Ovis aries: one gene and its partners. The protein of the gene in region 3 interacts with the protein of the main gene of each other region in a pairwise test. Links are inferred from orthologs where the notes say so. Each region holds a gene or a part of one and is shown on either strand. Other genes may lie near its edges.

The links. The genes of interacting proteins can lie anywhere in the genome.
Region 1: the proteins of COIL (region 3) and POLR2L interact in binary tests that used the Homo sapiens proteins (3 or more experiments, as listed by UniProt). The two-hybrid records come from large-scale screens. The link is inferred for Ovis aries from reciprocal best matches to the Homo sapiens genes COIL and POLR2L.
Region 2: the proteins of COIL (region 3) and transcription initiation factor TFIID subunit 9-like interact in a two-hybrid assay, tested with the Homo sapiens proteins (2 studies listed by BioGRID and IntAct). The link is inferred for Ovis aries from reciprocal best matches to the Homo sapiens genes COIL and TAF9.

Annotation. Positions count from the first base shown.
Region 1 is NC_056074.1:46,912,529-46,920,042, forward strand, and holds POLR2L (DNA-directed RNA polymerases I, II, and III subunit RPABC5), read left to right. Parts: upstream 1-3,789; 5' UTR 3,790-3,823; coding exon 3,824-3,918; intron 3,919-5,301; coding exon 5,302-5,410; 3' UTR 5,411-5,559; downstream 5,560-7,514. Other genes in the region: CD151 antigen, read right to left, coding at 7,263-7,322. UniProt on the Homo sapiens protein: DNA-dependent RNA polymerase catalyzes the transcription of DNA into RNA using the four ribonucleoside triphosphates as substrates.
Region 2 is NC_056065.1:58,196,493-58,203,147, forward strand, and holds transcription initiation factor TFIID subunit 9-like, read left to right. Parts: upstream 1-3,645; 5' UTR 3,646-3,783; coding exon 3,784-4,569; 3' UTR 4,570-4,700; downstream 4,701-6,655. UniProt on the Homo sapiens protein: The TFIID basal transcription factor complex plays a major role in the initiation of RNA polymerase II (Pol II)-dependent transcription.
Region 3 is NC_056064.1:7,466,713-7,473,107, forward strand, and holds the end of COIL (coilin), read right to left. Parts: intron 5,789-6,395; coding exon 5,719-5,788; intron 2,757-5,718; coding exon 2,458-2,756; 3' UTR 1,410-2,457; coding exon of another isoform or gene 1,344-1,409; 3' UTR 457-1,343; downstream 1-456. UniProt on the Homo sapiens protein: Component of nuclear coiled bodies, also known as Cajal bodies or CBs, which are involved in the modification and assembly of nucleoplasmic snRNPs.

The DNA of each region.
Region 1 (7,514 bases), on a different chromosome or scaffold from region 3:
GAGGGCAGGGGCGTGAGGGGGCCACCCCGCCGTGTTCTCTGATGAGCCCCCTTCCCGGAGCCCACAGCGACGCTGCAGACGCCGAAACCCACACACTCAGCCCCCAGCCCTGAGGCCGCCTCCGCAGCCGCACCCCCCCAGACCTGGGTCAGCAGATGGGCCTCCCAGCCAGGCCCTGAGGGGCAGCTCCACCCGCACCCCTCCCAGCCGCCGACCCCCCTACACCCCCACCCAGTGCAGCCCCGGGACCCTCCACGGGTGACCGCCATGCCCCTCCGTGAACCCAGGGCCCCACCCCATCCCGGGCAGCCCATACTCAAGCCTCAGTCGGGGGATGGGGGTGGCTATAGGGCCAGACAGGAACCGGCTGTCCCACCGCCTCACCTGGCCCGGCCGCCTCCTCCAGGAAGCCTCCTGCCCCCTGGCCTGCTCTGGGCCTCCTCTGTGTGCAGGACTGCAGAGGCCTGGGTCCCCAGAATAACACGCGCGGCAGGCAGTTGGGATGGGCAGAGCAAGAAGCCCTCGCCCAGCCCTGCCAGCCCCAGGCTGGGCCTCTGGGACCCTCTGGGGCCCAGGGCAGGGGCAGGAGGAAGCTCGGGGGAGCGTGGGCACCTACCTGGCCAGACCGAGGCCGAGCTCAGAGAAGGACCTCCCCAAACACTGACAGTGCTGGCCCGGCGGCCTCGGAGGCCTGCGGCAGACGGGCCCCAGCAGAGCCAGTGAGCGGGGCCCCAGCAGAGCCAGTGAGCGTGCCCGCACCTCAGGGTGCAGAGCCGGCCGCCCAGCCCGGGCCCCCAGGTTGCCAGCTCTGAGGCGACTGCGAGGAGCCAGGAGGCCCCGCCAACACAAACAGGCCTGCGGAGCCGGCCTTCCTGCTGCTGCTTCAGCCCCCGACCCCGGGGGAGGGGCGCACAAGCACCCGGGCCCACAGGCCCTCCTCCCGCTGGCCTGGAAGACACTGCCTCCAGGAGAGGTGCCCCCGGGAAGAGGCCACCCAGAGGCCTCCAGCGCTTCCCCAGGCCCAGTGAGGACAACCCCGAGGACAGGGGCTCCCCTCAGGACCCTCCCGCCACCCTGGGGCCTGGCAGCTCCCTTCCCCACCTGGGCACTGACACTCCAGCCTGCCCCCTACACACCAGTGCCCTCTGGGAGCCCCACGCACGGCCGAGCGGGCCATCCTCAAGGACCATGCCCATCCACAGGGTCACGAGGTTGCACAGCTGGCCGGCAAACACCGCCAGGGACCCCAGGGCCCAGAGGGTCACCGAGGGTGCAGCAGGTGGGCGACTCCGTCAAACCCTGACGAGGCATCCACGCCCCCTGCTCACCACACCGCCCCCCACGTGTGAGCACAGCTTACCCAGAGCGGCCAGAGCTTGGGCGCTCGGGGCTGCGCTGGGATCCTGCCCCTCCACCTGCGTGGCCTCCGCCCCCCCCCCCACCCACAGAAGGGGAGGCAGACGCTGTGGTCCAAGACGGGGCGCAGGGTCAGCTGCCTCCTGGGCAGCTCCGTCTCTCAGGAGGCGTTTCCAGGACAACACCCGGGGCACAGGGTCTCAGCGGCTGAAGCTTTGATCGTGGATTTCCCCTTGTCCCCCGCCTGCCCTGAAGTGACCCTCCTCTGGCAGGAAGTAGGGCGCACGGGTTCCAGACCACGTGAGCACCACCCTCCCGCCCTGTGCCCCCGCCCCTGGGGGCAGGAACCCCCTCCTCGGAAACCCAGCGCCTCACTCTCCCTGCCCATCTCCAGGCCAAGCCCGAGGTCTGGGCCACATCTGCGCTCATCCCCAGGGCCCCCACCACGGGCCTGTGCCACCCCGGCGCCCCCATGAGTGCACCAGGCCCCTGGGATGCTCTCTGCCCCTGCCCACCCTGAGGACAGCTGGACTATGCCCAGCCTGCCCCCTCAGCACCCACAGGGAGGGAGAAGGCCCAGCGGGGGAGAAGGCTGACGTGAGGCCCCCCAGGGTCCTCAGGTCCAGCCTGGCCAGGCCTGAGCCAGGGTGGGGTGGGCACGGAGGCCAAGTGCCCAAGGGGCCTCTGAGCACACGTGTGCTGGTGGCCTGTGCCACCACGCTGCTCAGCAATCCCCTCCTGGGAAACCAGGGAGCTGCAGGGAGGAGTCCCCCCCGCCTCAATCCACACGCAGTTCTCGGAATTCCAGGAATGTCCACTTGGCTCTCCCGCCGCCCCCCAGTCTCTGGGAGTAAACAGCCACTGCGCCAGAACGAGGTGCGGTGGACCACGGGGCCCTCCCCCAGGAAGCCTGCACGCACCCACCCCCGCTCTAGAAGAGCCTCCCGCCTATCCCCCTCACCTCTGCAGACGCAGCTGCCTCTACAGCTGAGCCTGGGTCCACCCCAGGCCACTGTGACTCAAGGCCCCATCCCAGCCGGGGACAGGATGTGCGTCCAGTCAGCTTGGGAAGGGGGGGCAGGCAGGGCAGGGAAGTGGCTTCTGCTCGTGGCTCCGCACGTGGCAGGGTGGGGGACGGCGAACCCCGCTGGGGAGGGTGGCCAGAGCCAAACTCCAGACGCAGAAGTGCTGGCCAGCCTCCCTGGGACCTCCACTCCCAGCCCCTTGACTTACAGTCAGAGTCCACCACCCACCCCAGGTGGACTCTGAGCTAAAGCCTGGGACCCAACATGGTGGGCCCACCCCCACCCCCCACCCCAACCAGAGACCCTGACGCCCCAGGCCAGCAAATATGAGGAGACCCTGCCTAGGTGCCTAGCCCACCCTCCTCAGCCCAAAGCTCGCCTCCTCCAGGGAGCCTTCCTTGCTTCTCAGTGCACACAGCCCTCTCCCAGCCGCCAGTCACAGGATCAGGGGGCTCACCTCTCGCCACTTCCCGAGACACAGCCCCCGCCCCCGCCCCCCCCCCGCTCCCTTTAAACCCCCACCGCCTCCAGCTCCCACAGCTTCTGTCCCGCACGGACGGGTGTCTGTCCGGCTCCCTCTTTAAGTCTCAGCTCAAAAGACACCCCGAGTGCCCTCCCGACCCTCAGAGCCGGCGCTCCCGGGTCACTGGCGCCCGCCCCTGCCGAGCGCGGACTGGAGCCTGGGCCGCCAGCGCCTCCCCCGGGAAGAAGGCAGGAGGGGGGGCCAAGCTGACCGCGGCGACGGCCGGAGCCCCCACCGGCTGGGTCGCCCCGCGCCGCCCGCCTGCAGGGATACGGGCAGCTACCGGGCCGGGACCGTTACTGTGCAGGCGACCCGGCCAGGCGGCGACCTCGAGGGTCCCTCGGACTCTGCGCAGAGACCCCCGAGTGCCCGCGGGCAGCGGCCCCAGGCGGAGAGGCCGCCCCCTGCCCGGCCCCTCCGGCCGCTCTCCGCGCCCCAGACCCGGCTCGCAACTTGTTGCTGAAACGCGGCTCGCGCTCTGCGCTCGGGGCCCCAGTTCGCGCGGGCCCGGCCGCACTCCGCCCGCGGCCCGGCAGGGGCGCTGTACCTGCCTCGCGCCCGCCGCGCGGAGTCGGTCGGCCGGGCACGAGGAACGCGAACGCCGCCGCCGAGCCCTTGCGGCCCCGCGCGGACGCCGTAGGCCGGGACGTACCAAGGCGCGGGCGGGGGGCTCCCGCCGGGCCCCGCCCCCGGCCCCGGCCCCCGGGCCCCGGCCCCCGGGCCCGCGCCCGCCGGAGGAGCCGCCGTCGCGGCGGGAGGCGGATGCCGGCGGCGCCGGGGCCGCGGGGAGGTGCACGGGGCGGGCCGGGCCGGCACCCCCGCGCCATGGGCGCGCCATGGGCACGCCGGGGCGGAAGCGCCGGGGGATCCGGGCGTCGGGCCGCCGGGCCGCGAAGCTTCTAGCTCCCGCGCCGCCGCCATGATCATCCCCGTTCGCTGCTTCACGTGTGGCAAGATCGTCGGCAACAAGTGGGAGGCCTACCTGGGCCTGCTGCAGGCCGAGTACACCGAGGGGTGAGGGGCGCGCTCCCGGCCGCCGGCCTGCGGGGCCCGGGGCGGGGAGGGTTTCCCAGCCTGCGCGGCCCGGGGCGAGGACAGGGGCGCCCGGCCTAAGGGGAGGGTTTCCCAGCCTGCGGGGCCCGGGGCGGCGGGACGGGGGCCCGGCCTGCGGGGCCCGGGGCGAGGACAGGGGCGCCCGGCCTAAGGGGAGGGTTTCCCAGCCTGCGGGGCTCGGAGCGAGGACACGGGGGCCCCGGCCTGCGGGGCCCGGGGCAGGGTCAAGGGGGCCTAGCCTGCGGCGTCGGCGTCTCGGGCGGCTGTCGAGGATCCAGGCTTGAGGGGTTGGGGTCTTGAGGCGGCAGTCAGGGGTCTTGGTCTCCAGGTCAGGAGCAAGGGACGTTCATCAGATCCCAGGTGACGCCGGCAAGGCTTTTATTCCCGGAGCCTTTGCCAGCCCTGTTCTCCAGACCTGCTCTCAGGAAAGCGTCTCCCACCCCCCAGTTCAGGCAGACGAGGGGAGCTAGTTGTCAAGCGCTGGTGTCTGGGGACTCGAGTATTCTGGCTCCACGCCTCCACCGCAGATAGGCCCCTGGCCACCTCTGTCCGTCAGCTCCCTAAGTTCTCCCTGCTATTAGGCCCACCCCGTGTCCTCAAAGACACTGATGCTGGGCAAGATGGAAGGCGAAAGGAGAAAGGAGCGGCAGAGGAGGACGCGGTTAGGTAGCATCAGCAGCTCAATGGACAGGAGTTCAAGCAAACTCTGGGAGATAGAGGAGAACATGAGCTCAGCGAGCTGCAGTCCATGGCGTCACGGACACGACCGAGCGGCTGAACAACAAACCGTGTCTTGCAGACTCACGGGCTTTTTTAGTACATAGGACAAGCTTCTGATCACATAGCCGTCATCATCAGGCTTTTGTGGGGTCCCTTTTCCGTGTTTGCCCCTTGGCACTGCAGTTACCGCCTTACTTGTCTGAGTTTACCCTAGACAAGAGTCTGACTTTGGTCCTTGTGTGGACAGCCCCATCCTTATCAAAGTGTGAACCTCTGGGACCTGGAGTGTGGTAGCAGGTGAGGTTCTCCGTGTAGCTGTGTTGGGTGGATAGGGAAGCAACGGACGGCCGTAGTATCTGCACCAGGCTTCGAGGAGGCTGCTGGAATGACCACAGTGCGAGTGAATGCTGGCAGCCTGCCCCAGACTCCTCCCCGAGATGCCCCAGGCCAGGGCTGCCCAAGCGGCCGCCCCTTTTATGGGTGCCACGCTGGTGCCCACACACAGGAGGCTTTGAGGGTGACTGGGGCCGTGTCTCTGGGAGGTGAGGGGGGCTGCTCCCCCCGGGCGAGGCCCTCTGTCTGCCGGGAGGAGCAGGCTGCAGCCAGATCTCTCCCCACCTGCAGGGACGCCCTGGACGCGCTGGGCCTGAAGCGCTACTGCTGCCGCCGCATGCTGCTTGCCCACGTGGACCTGATCGAGAAGCTGCTCAACTACGCTCCCCTGGAGAAGTGAGCCCGCGATGCCGCAGGGGGCGTCTCACCCATGGCTTGTTCCCCTGGGGTGTGGGGCGCCGGAAGCCACGCCCGCCCACGGCTCTGTTGGCGTGGGTCTTCCTCCCTGGAAAGAACTGTCTAGTAAATGTTTCTGAGGACTGCCAGGAAGTCCTAACAGTTGGTCTGGGTTTGTGGGCTGCCCCGCCGGTTCCTGGGGTTCTACCTGGTGCCCGAGGCCCGCACGGCCCAGGAGGAGGGTGGGCCTTCCATACGGGAGTGCTCAGCACGGGGCTCCCTTCCTCTGTGGGCGCTTGGCCCCACAGAAGACACAGATGTCACGAGTGCTTGGGGTGGGGGCACCGGCGTCCCACAGCGCTGTTCTGGGTGCCCTTCAGCCGAGAACAGAGGTCCCCACTTCCTCCCCCGGTATCTAATGCTCCAGACTTTCTGCGCTCTGAGTGGAGTGCTCCCTGTGGTCACAGCTGCGCATCCTGAGGTTGCTGCCGCCAGAAGCTTCCAGGCTCCACCCACAGCAGGCAGGCAGCTCCACTCCACCCCTGAGACCCCACAGCAGGTGGGAGGTGCCCTGAGGCAGCTCTCCTGGGCATCTGTTCTGAATGGGCTCTCAGTGCCCAGGCGTTAAATGCGTTGCCCTGAAAACCAACTAGAGAGCTGTCTGGCGGGGGCGGGGGTGGGGGGCAGCTCATCGCGGTCCAGCTTAGGCTGAGGCTTCAAACCAGAAGCTGTTGCTTTGGCGGGGCTCAGGCAGGCCCTGGTGCCTCCAGCAGCTTAGAGGGCAGGAGGGAGGCGGCCTTCCTGAGGCCACCTGCCCAGGCGTCTGATGGGTGGTCTCTGCAGAGACCAGGCCCAGCACCCTTCTCTGGCCCCACCCTGCCCTGTCGGCAGACGTCCTGCCAGACCCCACCTGACTCGCTCCCAAGACCCCCCTCCCATGCCTGGTCCCTGTGCAGTGGCCAGACAGGCCTTTGGAAACCGCAGCGGTCCAGTCACCCGCTCCCTGGGGTCTCAGCCGCATCACCAGCCCTGCATCCAGGGAACAGCTGAGCTTCTGCGAGGCCTGTCTGCAGCTGGCCCAGCCTCCGTCCCCTGGAGCCCCGTCGGCTCTCAGCTCACACCGCCCCATGTCTGCTTCTGTTGCGGCCCTGGGGGTGGGTCTGTTCACTCTGCGGACAGGACAGCCCTTGGAGACCAGAGTGCCTTTGTCAGTGACGTCAGCTCAGCCGTCCGTCCCACAGACGTTTATTGAGCACCTATCAAGTAGCAGGAGCAGTCCCAGGCGTGGAGCACAGCAGCGACTATAACCCTCAGGGTCCTGCCTCTGGGGGAGCGGTGACCTAGTCAGTACAGGCTGCAGACGGTCAGCAGGGGGGCAGCCGAGGCCCGGCCCAGACAGCTCTTCCCTGGTTGAGGAGGAGGCCCGGTACCCGGGGGGTCTGGGGGAGGCACCTGGGGCCGCCTCACCTGCTGCTGCCTGGCCCCCCTGCACCAGCCCATTTCTACCCAACTGGCATAGGCCTCAGGGAGCACCCCAAGGCCCCGATCTCAGCCCAGAGACAGTGGTGGGAGGGGGGCCTTTGTTGCTAACCCCCAGCCCAGCAGATAGGTGGGGCTGACCTTAGGCCTTGGGACTTTGGTGTGTAGCTAAAGGCACTTGAAGCTGCCTCTGGGGCTTGAGGGTCCCCAGAGGGCACGGTGATGGCACGGTGGGGGGGCCAGGCAGCAGGACAGTCTCCCCGGTAGGCGAGGGGCAGGGGCGCCGCCTGGACCGCAGCACTGGGGCTCTCGGGAGTGTCAGTAGTCAGCGCATCGCGAAGCTGCAGCACACGGAGGGCCGGCGCCCGCGGACACAGTCAGTAGTGCTCCAGCTTCAGGCTCTTGTACAGGCAGCAGGTGAAGAGCATCCCGAAGACCTGAGCACAGGGCCAGCGTGAGCACGCCGGCCCCGGCCCCCAGCACACTGCACACCCCCACACACGCCACCCCTGCACACGGGCGATGCCCAGCCCCACACACACACCCGCACGGGCGATGCCCAGCCCCCTCCAACATCACACCACCCCTGCACACGGGCGATGCCCAGCCCCCTCCAACATCACACCACC
Region 2 (6,655 bases), on a different chromosome or scaffold from region 3:
TTGAACGGTTCTATGAAGACCTACAAGACCTTTTAGAACTAACACCCAAAAAAGATGTCCTTTTCATTATAGGGGACTGGAATGCAAAAGTAGGAAGTCAAGAAACCCCTGGAGTAACAGGCAAATTTGGCCTTGGAATGTGGAATGAAGCAGGGGAAAGGCTAATAGAGTTTTGCCAAGAAAACGCACTAGTCATAGCAAACATCCTCTTCAACAACACAAGAGAAGACTACACATGGACATCATCAGATGGTCAACACCAAAATCAGACTGATTATATTCTTTGCACCCAAAGATGGTGAAGCTCTATACAGTCAACAAAAAAAACCAGGAGCTGACTGTGGCTCAGATCATGAACCCCTTATTGCCAAATTCAGACTTAAATTGAAGAAAGTAGGGAAAACCGCTAGACCATTCAGCTATGACCTAAATCAAATCCCTTATGATTATACAGTGGAAGTGAGAAATAGATTCTAGGGACTAGATCTGATAGACAGAGTGCCTGATGAACTATGGATGGAGGTTTGTGACATTGTACAGGAGATTGGATCAGGACCATCCCCATGGAAAAGAAATGTCAAAAAGCAAAATGGCTCTCTGAGGAGGCCTTACAAATAGCTGTGAAAAGGAGAGAGGCGAAAAGCAAAGGAGAAAAGGAAAGATATAAGCATATGAATGCAGAGTTCCAAAGAATAGCAAGAAGAGATAAGAAAGCCTTCTTCAGTGATCAATGCAAAGAAATAGAGGAAAACAACATAATGGGAAAGACTAGAGATCTCTTCAAGAAAACTAGAGATACCAAGGGAACATTTCATGCAAAGATGGGCTCGATAAAGGACAGAAATGGTCTGGACCTAACAGAAGCAGAAGATATTAAGAAGAGGTGGCAAGAATACACTGAAGAACTGCACAAAAAAGATCTTCACGACCCAGATAATCACGATGGTGTGATCACTCATCTAGAGCCAGACATCCTGGAATGTGAAGTCAAGTGGGCCTTAGAAAGCATCACTATGAACAAAGCTAGTGGAGGTGATCGAATTCCAGTTGAGCTAGTTCAAATCCTGAAAGACGATGCTGGGAAAGTGCTACACTCAATATGCCAGCAAATTTGGAAAACTCAGCAGTGGCCACAGGACTGGAAAAGGTCAGTTTTCATTCCAATTGCAAAGGAAAGGCAATGCCAAAGAATGCTCAAACTACCACAAGATTGCACTCATCTCACACGCTAGTAAAGAAATGCTCAAAATTCTCCAAGCCAGGCTTCAGCAATACGTGAACTGTGGACTTCCTGATGTTCAAGCTGGTTTTAGAAAAGGCAGAGGAACCAGAGATCAAATTGCCAACATCCGCTGGATCATGGAAAAAGCAACAGACTTCCAGAAAAACATCTATTTCTGCTTTATTGACTATGCCAAAACCTTTCACTGTGTGGATCACAATAAAGTGTTGAAAATTCTGAAAGAGATGGGAATACCAGACCACCTGAGCTGCCTTTTGAGAAATCTGCATGCAGGTCAGGAAGCAACAGTTAGAACTGGACATGGAACAACAGACTGGTTCCAAATAGGAAAAGGAGTATATCAAGGCTGTGTATTGTCACCCTGCTTATTTAACTTATTTGCAGAGTACATCATGAGAAACACTGGACTGGAAGAAACACAAGCTGGAATCAAGAATGCCAGGAGAAATATCAATGACACCACCCTTATGGCAGAAAGTGAAGAGGAGCTAAAAGCCTCTTGATGAAAGAGAAAGAGGAGAGTGAAAAAGTTGGCTTAAAGCTCAACATTCAGAAAATGAAGATCATGGCATCTGGTCCCATCACTTCATGGGAAATAGATGGGAAACAGTGGAAACAGTGTCAGACTTTATTTTGGGGGGCTTCAAAATTACTGCAGATGGTGACTGCAGCCATGAAATTAAAAGACACTTACTCCTTGGAAGAAAAGTTATGACCAACCTAGATAGCATATTCAAAAGCAGATATATTACTTTGCCGACTAAGGTCCATCAAGGCTATGGTTTTTCCAGTAGTCATGTATGGATGTGAGAGTTGGACTGTGAAGAAGGCTGAGCGCTGAAGAATTGTTGCATTTGAACTGTGGTTTTGGAGAAGACTCTTGAGAGTCCCTTGGACTGCAAGGAGATCCAACCAGTCCATTCTGAAGGAGATCAGCCCTGGGATTTCTTTGGAAGGAATGATGCTAAAGCTTAAACTCCAGTCCTTTGGCCAGCTGATGCGAAGAGCTGATTCATTGGAAAAGACTTTGATTCTGGGAGGGATTGGGGGCAGGAGGAGAAGGGGACGACAGAGGATGAGATGGCTGGATGGCATCACTGACTCGATGGACATGAGTCTGAGTGAACTCCGGAATTTGGTGATGGACAGGGAGGCCTGGCATGCTGCGATTCTTGGGGTCTCAAAGGGTTGGACATGACTTAGCGACTGAATGAACTGAGCTGAACTGATGCTGAAGCTTCAATAATCTGCCTACCTGATGTGAAGAGCCAACTCTTTGGAGAAGACTCTAATGCTGAGAAAGATTGAAGGCCGGAGGAGAAAAAGGTGACAGAGGATGAAATGGTTGGATAGCATCACTTACTCAATGGAGATGAGTTGAACAAGCTCTGGGAGATAGTGAAGTACAGGGAACCCTGTTGTCCTGCAGTCTACGTGGTTGCAAAGAGTCAGACATGACTTAGCGACTGAATAACAATAACAACAATGTAGTATTTGGTTACTATTGACCTTCTGATGACACCTCAAAAGGAGGCATATCCACTTTATGTGATCCCAGATCACTGAGACATGATGATGTGGATGGCTGGATATCTAGAGCAGACAATGTCAATCACTAAGGATCCTCAGAGGGATGAAGCAGGACAGCAAAAGATTTCATCACATTCCTTGGAATGGCAAAGAATTTAAATGTGAATTGTTTGTTTCTGGAATTCTCGTTTGATATTTTCAGACTGTGGTTGACCACAGGTAAGTGAAACTCTGGAAATAAAAACTGTGGATAAGAGGAAACAACTGTATATAAAATATGATATATATTGCAGTATATTGCAGTTCCTTGGACTGCAAGGATATCTCACCTGTCAATCCTAAAGGAATATTCACTGGATAGACTGATGCTGATGCTGAAACTCCAATGCTTTGGCCACCTGATGCAAAGAGCCGACTCATTGGAAAAGATCCTGATGCTGAGAAAGATTGAAGGTGGGAGGAGAAGAGGATGACAGAGGATGAGATGGCTGGATGGCATCACTGACACAATGGACATGAGTTTGAGTAGGCTCCTGGAGTTGGTGATGGACAGGGAATCCTGGCATACTGAAGTCCATGGGGTCGCAAAAAGTCAGACACGACTGAATGACTGAACTGAGCTGATATTGCAGTAAAAACGGATGAATACAAGAATATTTTCTTTATCAAAGATAAAAAGCATGATCGATATGCTAGGAACTGTTTCCTAAGTTATTTCCTATATTAACATGTTTAACTGATATATAAAAATACAGTGAAATATTGAAGTATTATTACCTCCATTTTGCATAATGAATTATTATTAGCTCCATTATTACCTCCACTGGGTATAGAGAATGTGTATAAAAACCTAATTTAAAAAAAAAAAAGCGATGTTGCTTCCGAACATCCTGCTCACCGGTACACCAGGGGTTGAAAAAACTACATTAGGCAAAGAACTTGCATCAAGATCAGGACTGAAATACGTTAATGTGGGTGATTTAGCTCGAGAAGTTTGATCACCGGATATCATGGAGTCTGGCAAGATGGCTTCTCCCAAGAGCATGCCGAAAGATGCACAGATGATGGCACAAATCCTGAAGGATATGGGGATTACAGAATATGAACCAAGAGTTATAAATCAGATGTTGGAGTTTGCCTTCCGATATGTAACCACAATTCTAGATGATGCCAAAATTTATTCAAGTCATGCTAAGAAAGCTACTGTTGACGCAGATGATGTGCGGTTGGCAATCCAGTGTCGTGCTGACCAGTCTTTCACCTCTCCTCCACCAAGAGATTTTTTATTAGATATTGCAAGGCAAAGAAATCAAACCCCTTTGCCATTGATCAAGCCATACTCAGGTCCTAGATTGCCACCTGATAGGTATTGCTTGACTGCTCCAAATTATAGACTGAAGTCTTTACAAAAAAAGGCATCTACTTCTGCAGGAAGAATAACGGTTCCACGGTTAAGCGTTGGTTCAGTTACTAGCAGACCAAGTACTCCCACGCTTGGCACACCAACCCCACAAGCCATGTCTGTTTCAACTAAAGTAGGGACTCCAGTGTCCCTCACAGGGCAAAGGTTCACAGTACAGATGCCCACTTCACAGTCCCCAGCTGTAAAAGCATCAATTCCTGCAACATCAGCTGTTCAGAATGTTCTAATTAATCCGTCATTAATTGGGTCCAAAAATATTCTTATTACCACTAACATGGTCTCATCACAAAATACTGCCAATGAAACATCAAACACATTGAAAAGGAAACATGATGACGATGATGACGACGACGATGACTATGATAACTTGTAATCTAGCCTTGACGCATGTAACTTGTATACTTGGTTTTGAATCTGTTGTACTGAGATTAAACATGCATGCTGGATATTTCCATGTTGTGTTCTAGAAAGAATAGTATTTAATGAGTAAATATGCTTACCATACTTTTTGATTGAGCTGTTGTGTTAGATTTTCTTTGATAGGATTAGTAATGGTTTCTCGTCACCCTTTAAGTGTAAAAAATAAAGTTGCAATTCGTGCATTTAAAAAAAAAAAAAGCAAATCCAGAAGACTGCATATAGAAGACTGCATACAGAATGCTACCTTATTTTACTAAAACTAAAAATCAAACAATGCTCAAGATTATGTTATTTAGGAATATATATGCAAGAAAAAATTTTCCAAGAATGGGTGTATTATATGGTTAAAAATTAAGAGAGTAATTATCTCCAGGAGATTAGCAGACCTACAGATGGGTGATAGCTTTGAAAGTATTAGCAATGGTCTAGCTCTTATGACTTTCCCGGCGGCTCAGAGAGTAAAGCGTCTGCCTACAAAGTGGGAGACCTGGGTTCAATCCCTGGGTTGGGAAGACATCCTGGAGAAGGAAATGGCAACCAACTCCAGTATTCTTGCCTGGAAAATCCCATGGATGGAGGAACCTGGTAGGCTACAGTCTACAGGGTTGCAAAGAGTTGGACACGACTGAGTGACATTTACTAATATTACTTTAGCTCTTATGACAGGTGGTAGATTCATAGTTGATGATTACAAGATGATGCTTCATAACTTTTATAGGCATTATATATAGTTTTACTTATACCAAAATTATACTTTAAGAAGTTTAGCACCTGCATTTTGTGATATTTAGATTAACTGTTCAGGGGCTATTTTTCTTATTTCCTGGTTTCCAGCTACAGTGCTTAAGAGATAGGATTACTAGGTAGCTGACTTCTAGAGCAGCAAACAAAATTATAACTTTTTTTTCTTTTCAGTCTGGGTAGTCATTCTAAACATAAATCAGTTTCAAAATAATGCTTATAAAAGAATAAATGGTCCCACTAAATGCAAAAAACAATTTGACCACTGAGAAATATGTTAACAGCTTTCTCAAATCAATATGCCAACATTATTGTAATTTCTGAATAATGGTAATAAAAACAACACTTCCAGATAGAGCTCTAACATGTAAAAAGTTGTGAAGCTATCAAACCTGTCCTTAAGACAAGAAAACATTTTATAAACTAAAACCAGTGACTTTTGTTGAACAACAGAAAACTGAATTTGTAGGGTTAATTGTTGCTCCACAGTCTGGACATGCAGGCACATTCAGAGAGACAGAAGATCTGCTTACCTGGAGCAGAAGCTGATGAAGCAACAGATAAGAGCACTTAAATAGTAATTTTGATGAACTGTTGATAGTGTGGACTAGTATAAGAGGAAATTCTGGAGATCACAGTCTAAGGGGTTCAGTACTTGTTCCATGCAGCTCACCAAGTTCTCACTGTGAAGATTCGAGAATACCTTATGGCTCTGGCAGGGCTGGGGATAGAAGAGAAATCACTGCAAAATGCATTCAGAGCACTTTCCATCAGGAAGACCTAAACTCCAGGGGAAAAGACTTTACCAAATCCTTCCCCAGCTGGGAAAGAACATTTCTCCCACTGTGCCTTTCTCTATCCTTCCCATTACATTTTAAAAGTGAACAACATCTATATCATTGGAAAAATATTTGTAACAGTCACAGACTAGAACCACAAGCCTAAACCAAGATTTAGTCACAGAAATATAAAATTCTTTCTTTCCCCTACATCTGGCCACTATACCAGGGATCCAGAGTACAGTGAATTACAGATGAAAGATGTAGACTCTGTCTGCAGAAGAGTGAGATGGGAGTTCAAAAATAAAAGGAGAGATAATAACAAGAACACTGGAGGAATTTGAAGTCTCTGGTAACTACAGTACCAGCTAACATTGAACACAAACTTATAGCCAGATTAACATAAATTCTCACACTAATGACATCTAGACTTCACTACTAGTTACTTAATACATGTACATCTTTCAACAAAAAGCTGTAAGACATTAGAAAGAAAGAAAGAGGGAAAGGAGAAGGAAG
Region 3 (6,395 bases):
TTCTGGTAAGAGCCACCCTAACAGGTGTGAGGTGATGTCTCGCTGTGGTTTTGGTCTCCCTGATGATAGTGGTGCTGAGCACTGTTTTCAAGCGCCCGTTGGCCTTTACTATTTGTCTTGTTTTCCAAACCTGGAAAGAAAGCATGCTCACACCAGGGCCCCAATACCAGGATGGCATCGTTCACGTTAATCTCTCTCTTTCTGGAGTCATGTTTCTTGTCTAAAAATCAGTAAATACCAATTCTGATGCACATCAATGTCATGCAACTTAGAGGCAGACATTTCCTTTGATCCAGTTGCTCCCAGAGCTAATGAACTCCACTGAACTAAGCCTTGCGACATCACAGTCTTTAGTCAAGGCAGACCTTCTTGTCACAGAGAATTTCAATCTTCTGCATCACTATAAAACAAGGTGGCGGTCCACAAAACTCGAACAAGATGACTCAGCACAGAAGCTTAGTCCAATATGATTTTATTTAAAAATCTGCACAGCCAAAGGAGGGGTCTGATGTTTTGTTAAAACAATTTTCACAGTATATATTTCAGCCTTTTTTAGCTTTGTGTTGAATAATAACAGAAAAGGAAATTTCTGTTCAAGACCCTCACTCCAGCACAGCACACTTAGCCAGGCGCCCGGGATCGAGTGGCTGGGCGGGTCACCCTGGCCTGAGCTCACAGTGAATCCTCCCCCTCAAGTAGAGCCCTAGTTCTTTCCCAAGCACACAGACTTATTTTCACTGCTCTCCACAGGCCCTGAGAATCCTTAAAGTTGAGAAAAGTGTGAAAGGATTCCGTAACTCATTGCCTGTAACAAACCCAGCTACTGATTAACTGCTGACGATCACAAGTATAAACACTTGAGATGTATAAGATGCTCCACGTTGAATGGAACAACTTAAATTTAAAAAAATTAAGTCAAGTAACATGCTTTCATGTTTTAAAACGTTACTTAATAAAACTTACTGAGACAAGATATACAGCACTTTCTGTATTTGGTATTACAAACTCCTACTGACGATAAGCTACTTGATGGTTGAAAAAAATAAAAAAGAGAAGAAACCGTACGTATTGTTTTATAAACGATGCCTGAAGGAATGTCATGTTGTAAATTCTGTTACTAAGATTAAGCCTGGGGAGAAAAAAAGATCTACAAAAGCAACACCCATGTGCTTTTAAATGGTGAGGTAGACTTTTTCCTATGCAGCAAATGGAAGATAACCGAAAATGCATACAGCTCACAAATCTTCTTTAAAAAAAAAACCGTTCAGGTTATAGTCACTTTCACAAATAAGACATTTATAAACCACGAGGTGGAGAGGTCAAACTCGGGGAAGCTCCACACTTTATGTGTTACTCGGAGATTCGATAATCAATCTTGGATCAATCAACTCTCTCCAAAAAACGGTTATCTGAGGAAAAACAGAAAATATTCAGTTTAGAGACGTCATTTTGAGGTCATATGAATTTTAGTCAGTTAAAAACTTCAATTTCCATTTGTGAAGAATGCTTGAGGACTGGAGGTAATTTGAGTCCCAGTAAATTCAGTTCAACTAGGGTAGAAGGCCTTGTTTACCTAGAACACAGCTAAATTTTATATTAAATATATTTCATCTTCCTTTGATTTAGAGCATGGGCTGGGGCTGGGTGGTACCAGCTGGTTACCAAGGGGTCAGAAGGATTTGCCCAACCAGTCTCTATGGACAAGCAGTCTGCAGACTTCTTGGGAGGCAGATACGGCCCAGAGGGTTATCACTAGATTGCCCATGCCCTTTCATGCAGCTCTATGGTTCTTTTCCTGTGCTGCCTAAAAACAGAGGAGCTATTTCATTTTACCAAGAGAAAGCAAAGCTAACGAAGGCCATGTGGATGAATAATGAGAGCCATCTAGTGTCCAAAAACGTAATTACAGGCCCTACTTCAGGCCTCAGTTTAATAAGGCCTCCCTCCAAGAGGAAAGCCTCCAACATTTAATTTTCCAGTGTAGTTTCCAAGAATACATTTCAACAAAAAAGTGGGACTGCATATATTGCAAATAAAGAAGTACAGGATACGGGGCCAAATCTGCAGAGCCTACCACAGATCCTAAAAATGTGCTTTTGGAGTAAATCCCTGAGTGTCATCTATCCTGAAGACAAAGCAAAACATACAGTCTGGTTAGGGTTTCCACAAGTTTACATTCCAGATAAAACGTGACTGTGCAATAGTAAAACTTCAGAATAATATCATAACATTTCAAATATAAACACCTTAAGAAGCGGTTTCTTAAATATAAATTCTATTCACTTCAATGCTACCATACTCTAACGAGGCAGCCATTCCAGCATCTCTGGAAGTCTGGCTGCCAACAAAGCTCTAAACCATATACTTCCTAAAATGGCAATTTAAGGACTTAAAATCAGAAGACAGATTCATCACTGTGTCATTCTTCAAAAGTATCTGCACTGTTCTACGTCAGAATCACGGTAACTCTTGGGAGGTAGTAGTGACTGTAAGGAGACACAGTGGAGACTTCTGGAGATCCCCCCCCCCCCGCCGCCCCGCAAGGCCGGGATCCTCTCTGATTTTATGCAAGCAGTGCAGGAAGCCGCAGCGTGTCACCCTCCAGACCACCAGCAGCCAGTCAAGCGAATGGACGACCACGCAATCCCAGAAGAGAAGCACGCCTACCCTCTTTTCCTGCGTCACAGCGTACTCCACTACCTCAGCTCCATTTTCGTTGTGATAAACCAAATCAAATTTCCCAGGTTCTTTCATGGCTGAAACCAGACGGTAGGAAGGAGAGACAATAAGTCATTTCCCAGTAGTGAAAAAGTTCCTCTACAGGGAATTCGTATCATTAGAAAAACCACCACAAACAAACTGCCCGTTGATGTGGAGGCTGGTGCACACAGGAAAGCATAGAGTGCTCAGTGACAGGAGATGCTCTGAAGCCTGTGCCGACAGACAGGGGCTTCTCAGGCACTCCCCAGTGACAATCCGCCCTTCCCAGAAAAGAAGTGAGCTGATGCACTAGCAATCCCAGAAGAGAGTGTGTAACCACAAGATAATCCCCAACACCCCCAGAACCGGTTTGTTTCAATAAGAGAAGGCAACGTGAATTCTGCAAAATTCTTATATCTTGCTGCGTCCGCAGACATTGTACATGCTTCCCTGGTAACACAGCAGCCCTCATTTTACATGGTAGGGTGGGGCTCTAGAAATGACCACACAAGCTGAAATCATGCAGAACAATCTTAATCAATGGGGAAACTGATGACTGTCTCACGGTTAAAATGTTTTGTCAAAACATTCAAACCTTTACTGTATAGGGAAATGAAAACACAGTACAACTGCCATTTATGTAGGACACTGACCCAACTTGAAACAGAAGCAATGAGAATCAGTGACAGAACCGTGACTGTTCTGTGTCCACACACACCCAGGTGGTTTGGACAGCGCTCGCCCCCTTGCCATCCAGCCACAGTGCAGAGCGAGGACCTTGCCCACGCCTGGCACAGCCGCCACACTCCTTTCCGTTTGAGTCCACTTTCAGCAAGATATCCTTTGAGGTTTTAACGTTATGAAATAGATCTGAGAGTTTCTTTCTCTCAGTTTTGCTCAGTTTTTTGCTGATGTAATTCCTAGGACATCCTTATTCCTTTCATCATGACCGCTCTCCTCGCTGATGTCAAGAAGTGCACAGGAAGCGCAAAGTCAGCATTTCCACAGTGAGCTCCTTCTTCTGCGAGCTCACTTAAATTCAGTGTGGATGTGACTTTTAGGGCTATCCCTTTCTGTTTCTTTGTCACTCCTTCACTGCTGTTGGCCAAGTCCCTATTCAATTATCCACTTTCGTAAAGCGACACGTGGGTTTATGACTGAGACAAGGAGGCACCACAACCACACCCTGTGCTACGGTGTGGGAACTGAGTAACAGATGCACCGCGGCCAGCGCCAAAACACTCTGAAAGAAGCAGGGTGACTAGTCCCTGGCCATAATGGGCACCTGCTACTGTGCAGTGGTCTGTGTGGGCTGGAGGGCTGGCAGTACTTCACACACTCACTCACAGCTAACAGGGGCCTCCCTGGTGGTCCAGTGGCTAAGACTCCACGCTCGCAATGCAGGGGGCCCAGGTGTGAGCCCTGGTCAGGGAACTAGAACCCACACGCTACAACGGGAGATCTACAACTCAGACCTAGTGCAGTCAAAGAAAGAAACAAATACTTTTAAAAAGGAGAGTTAATATACCAAGGACACTGGAGACTGGTTCTATTGAACAAAACCATGGTAACTTGAATTCATGTATATTAGAACTGTGCAAAGTGAGGACTACCTGTATTTCTGCTACAAGACAGATCAGGTGCTTCTTGATGCTCCCAAAAAGAAAAGTTCTAATTGGATATCATCACTGTCAATCACCTGACAAGAAGTGACCAGGCTGTGTCCACAGAATTTGACCACAGACAAACCTCTGTCCGACATTCCTAAGGAGGATTTCTTCAAATGAAATCTAATTAGAAGAGAGCTGGAAAACCAGTGTAAGGTTTTTTGTTTATGTTTTTTCTGGGTGCCCTCACACCTTGCAGGATCTTAGTTCCCCAACCAGGGATTGAACCTGAGCCCCAGCAGAGAAAGCGTCAGATCCTAACCACTGGACCACCAGGGAATCCCCTGAAAAATCTTTTTGCATGATTCCTGCATACTACAGTCTTAACTCTTTTACTATCTTATTTAAACATGAACAGAAAATTAATTCCTTAGTCTGCTAAAGAAAAAGGGATCGCCTCTAATCTCTGGGCAGGGACCCCTGCAAACACCACCCAAGTTAAGCCATACACAATAAAAGCCCTGTTATTCCAGGGTTTCAGAACCAAAAATGGGTGGGGTGATTCAGGCATAAAGCAGGGAACCATTTAAAATAATGCATGAGAGTGTGGCTACACTTATCTGTTTCAGACTCTTCATTTTCATTTAACACAGAGAAGTATGTTCATTTGCCAGCCTTTTCAAACAGAGCTAGTAGGTCTTATGAGTCACTGACTGGAGCTGTCTTTCTTTTATAAACTTTATCCCTGATGCATATATGCAATTTCCAGGTTTTGAGTTTTGAGGGGTTTTGTTTGGTTTTATTTTCTGGTTATACCACGCAGCATGGAGGATCTTAGTTTTCCCACCAGGGATCAAACCCACACCCTCTGCACTGGGAGCATGGAGTCTTAACCACTGGACCACCAGGAAAAGTCCCGAGGTTTTTTGATTTTTGTCTTTCAAGTGGATGCAAGAATATAAAACTAGCAACACAGTTTAAGTGCAGAATCTTCTCACATTTTTATCAAATTCCTCCCAAACTCTTATAGCTAACCCATCACATATAATTCAAAAGCAAAATTTTCAGCAACGATCCTGAGTTATCATTCAATTTAGGTCTCATAGACGTAACTTTTTTTGCCATCAATTTTCATTAATTGATGTAATTTTATGAAATTACATGGTTACAGTAATAAGAACAACGTGCCTAACAGTTTGGGGAACAACGCCAACAGCTCTCAGCAGACACGCAACCGCACTAGCGGAAGCGCAGCGCGGCCCACCCCAGGCCCTGCGCGCGGACAGAGGCAGCAGAGGGCCCCGTAGCCACGGCGGCCAAGGAGGCCGGCGGCGCCTGCGCTAGAAGCTGTTCACAAGCCCGTGCGGACGTGAAGAGCCTACGCTTTCGAATATCTTTCTAGAAGACTCACCAGGTAAGGATGAAAGAATTTCTATGTCTACTTGCTGGGTCTCCGGGTTATGGCTTAATATTCTTCCTTCCTTTCAAAATAAAAGTCCAAGTCAAAAATCACCATGTGAAATAGGATGAATGTACTAAAACCACTTAGAAATAGTTAAGATGGTGAGTTTTCTGTGAATTTCATTTCAACAAAATTTTTTTAAATGAGTCGACATGTATCTGAAACATGACTCCCACAGCAAGCCCCATTTCTCTGGTCTAAATTATCGCTGGTGCAGGCTCCACACGGCTAGGAACAGCCCCAGAGCCCACAGCCTCTAGTCACCCAAACCAGCCGGCCCTGCAACCCCGAGGAGGCCCGGACGGAAGCTGCTCACCCCTGCCCTGCCTCCCGGCCACAGCCAGACGCTGGCGCCTGGAGGCCTGCCTGGCGTGGCATCTCCTTTCTCTTGGGAAATGTAACTAATAAATTCCTCTCTTCAGTAGCACTGACTCTGCTGTGTTATCGCTCGTCACCTCCATAAATTAAAGTCCCATGGATAGATATTAGACAGGGTCGGGGGTTGGGGAGACTACATTCTTTGAAGATAGCTTTGACTTTTAAAGACAAGCTTAATGAATAAAGCTAATGATCTAGGTGGATAACAGCATTTGACATCAAAGCAAAACAGTAACACTGATGTTCAC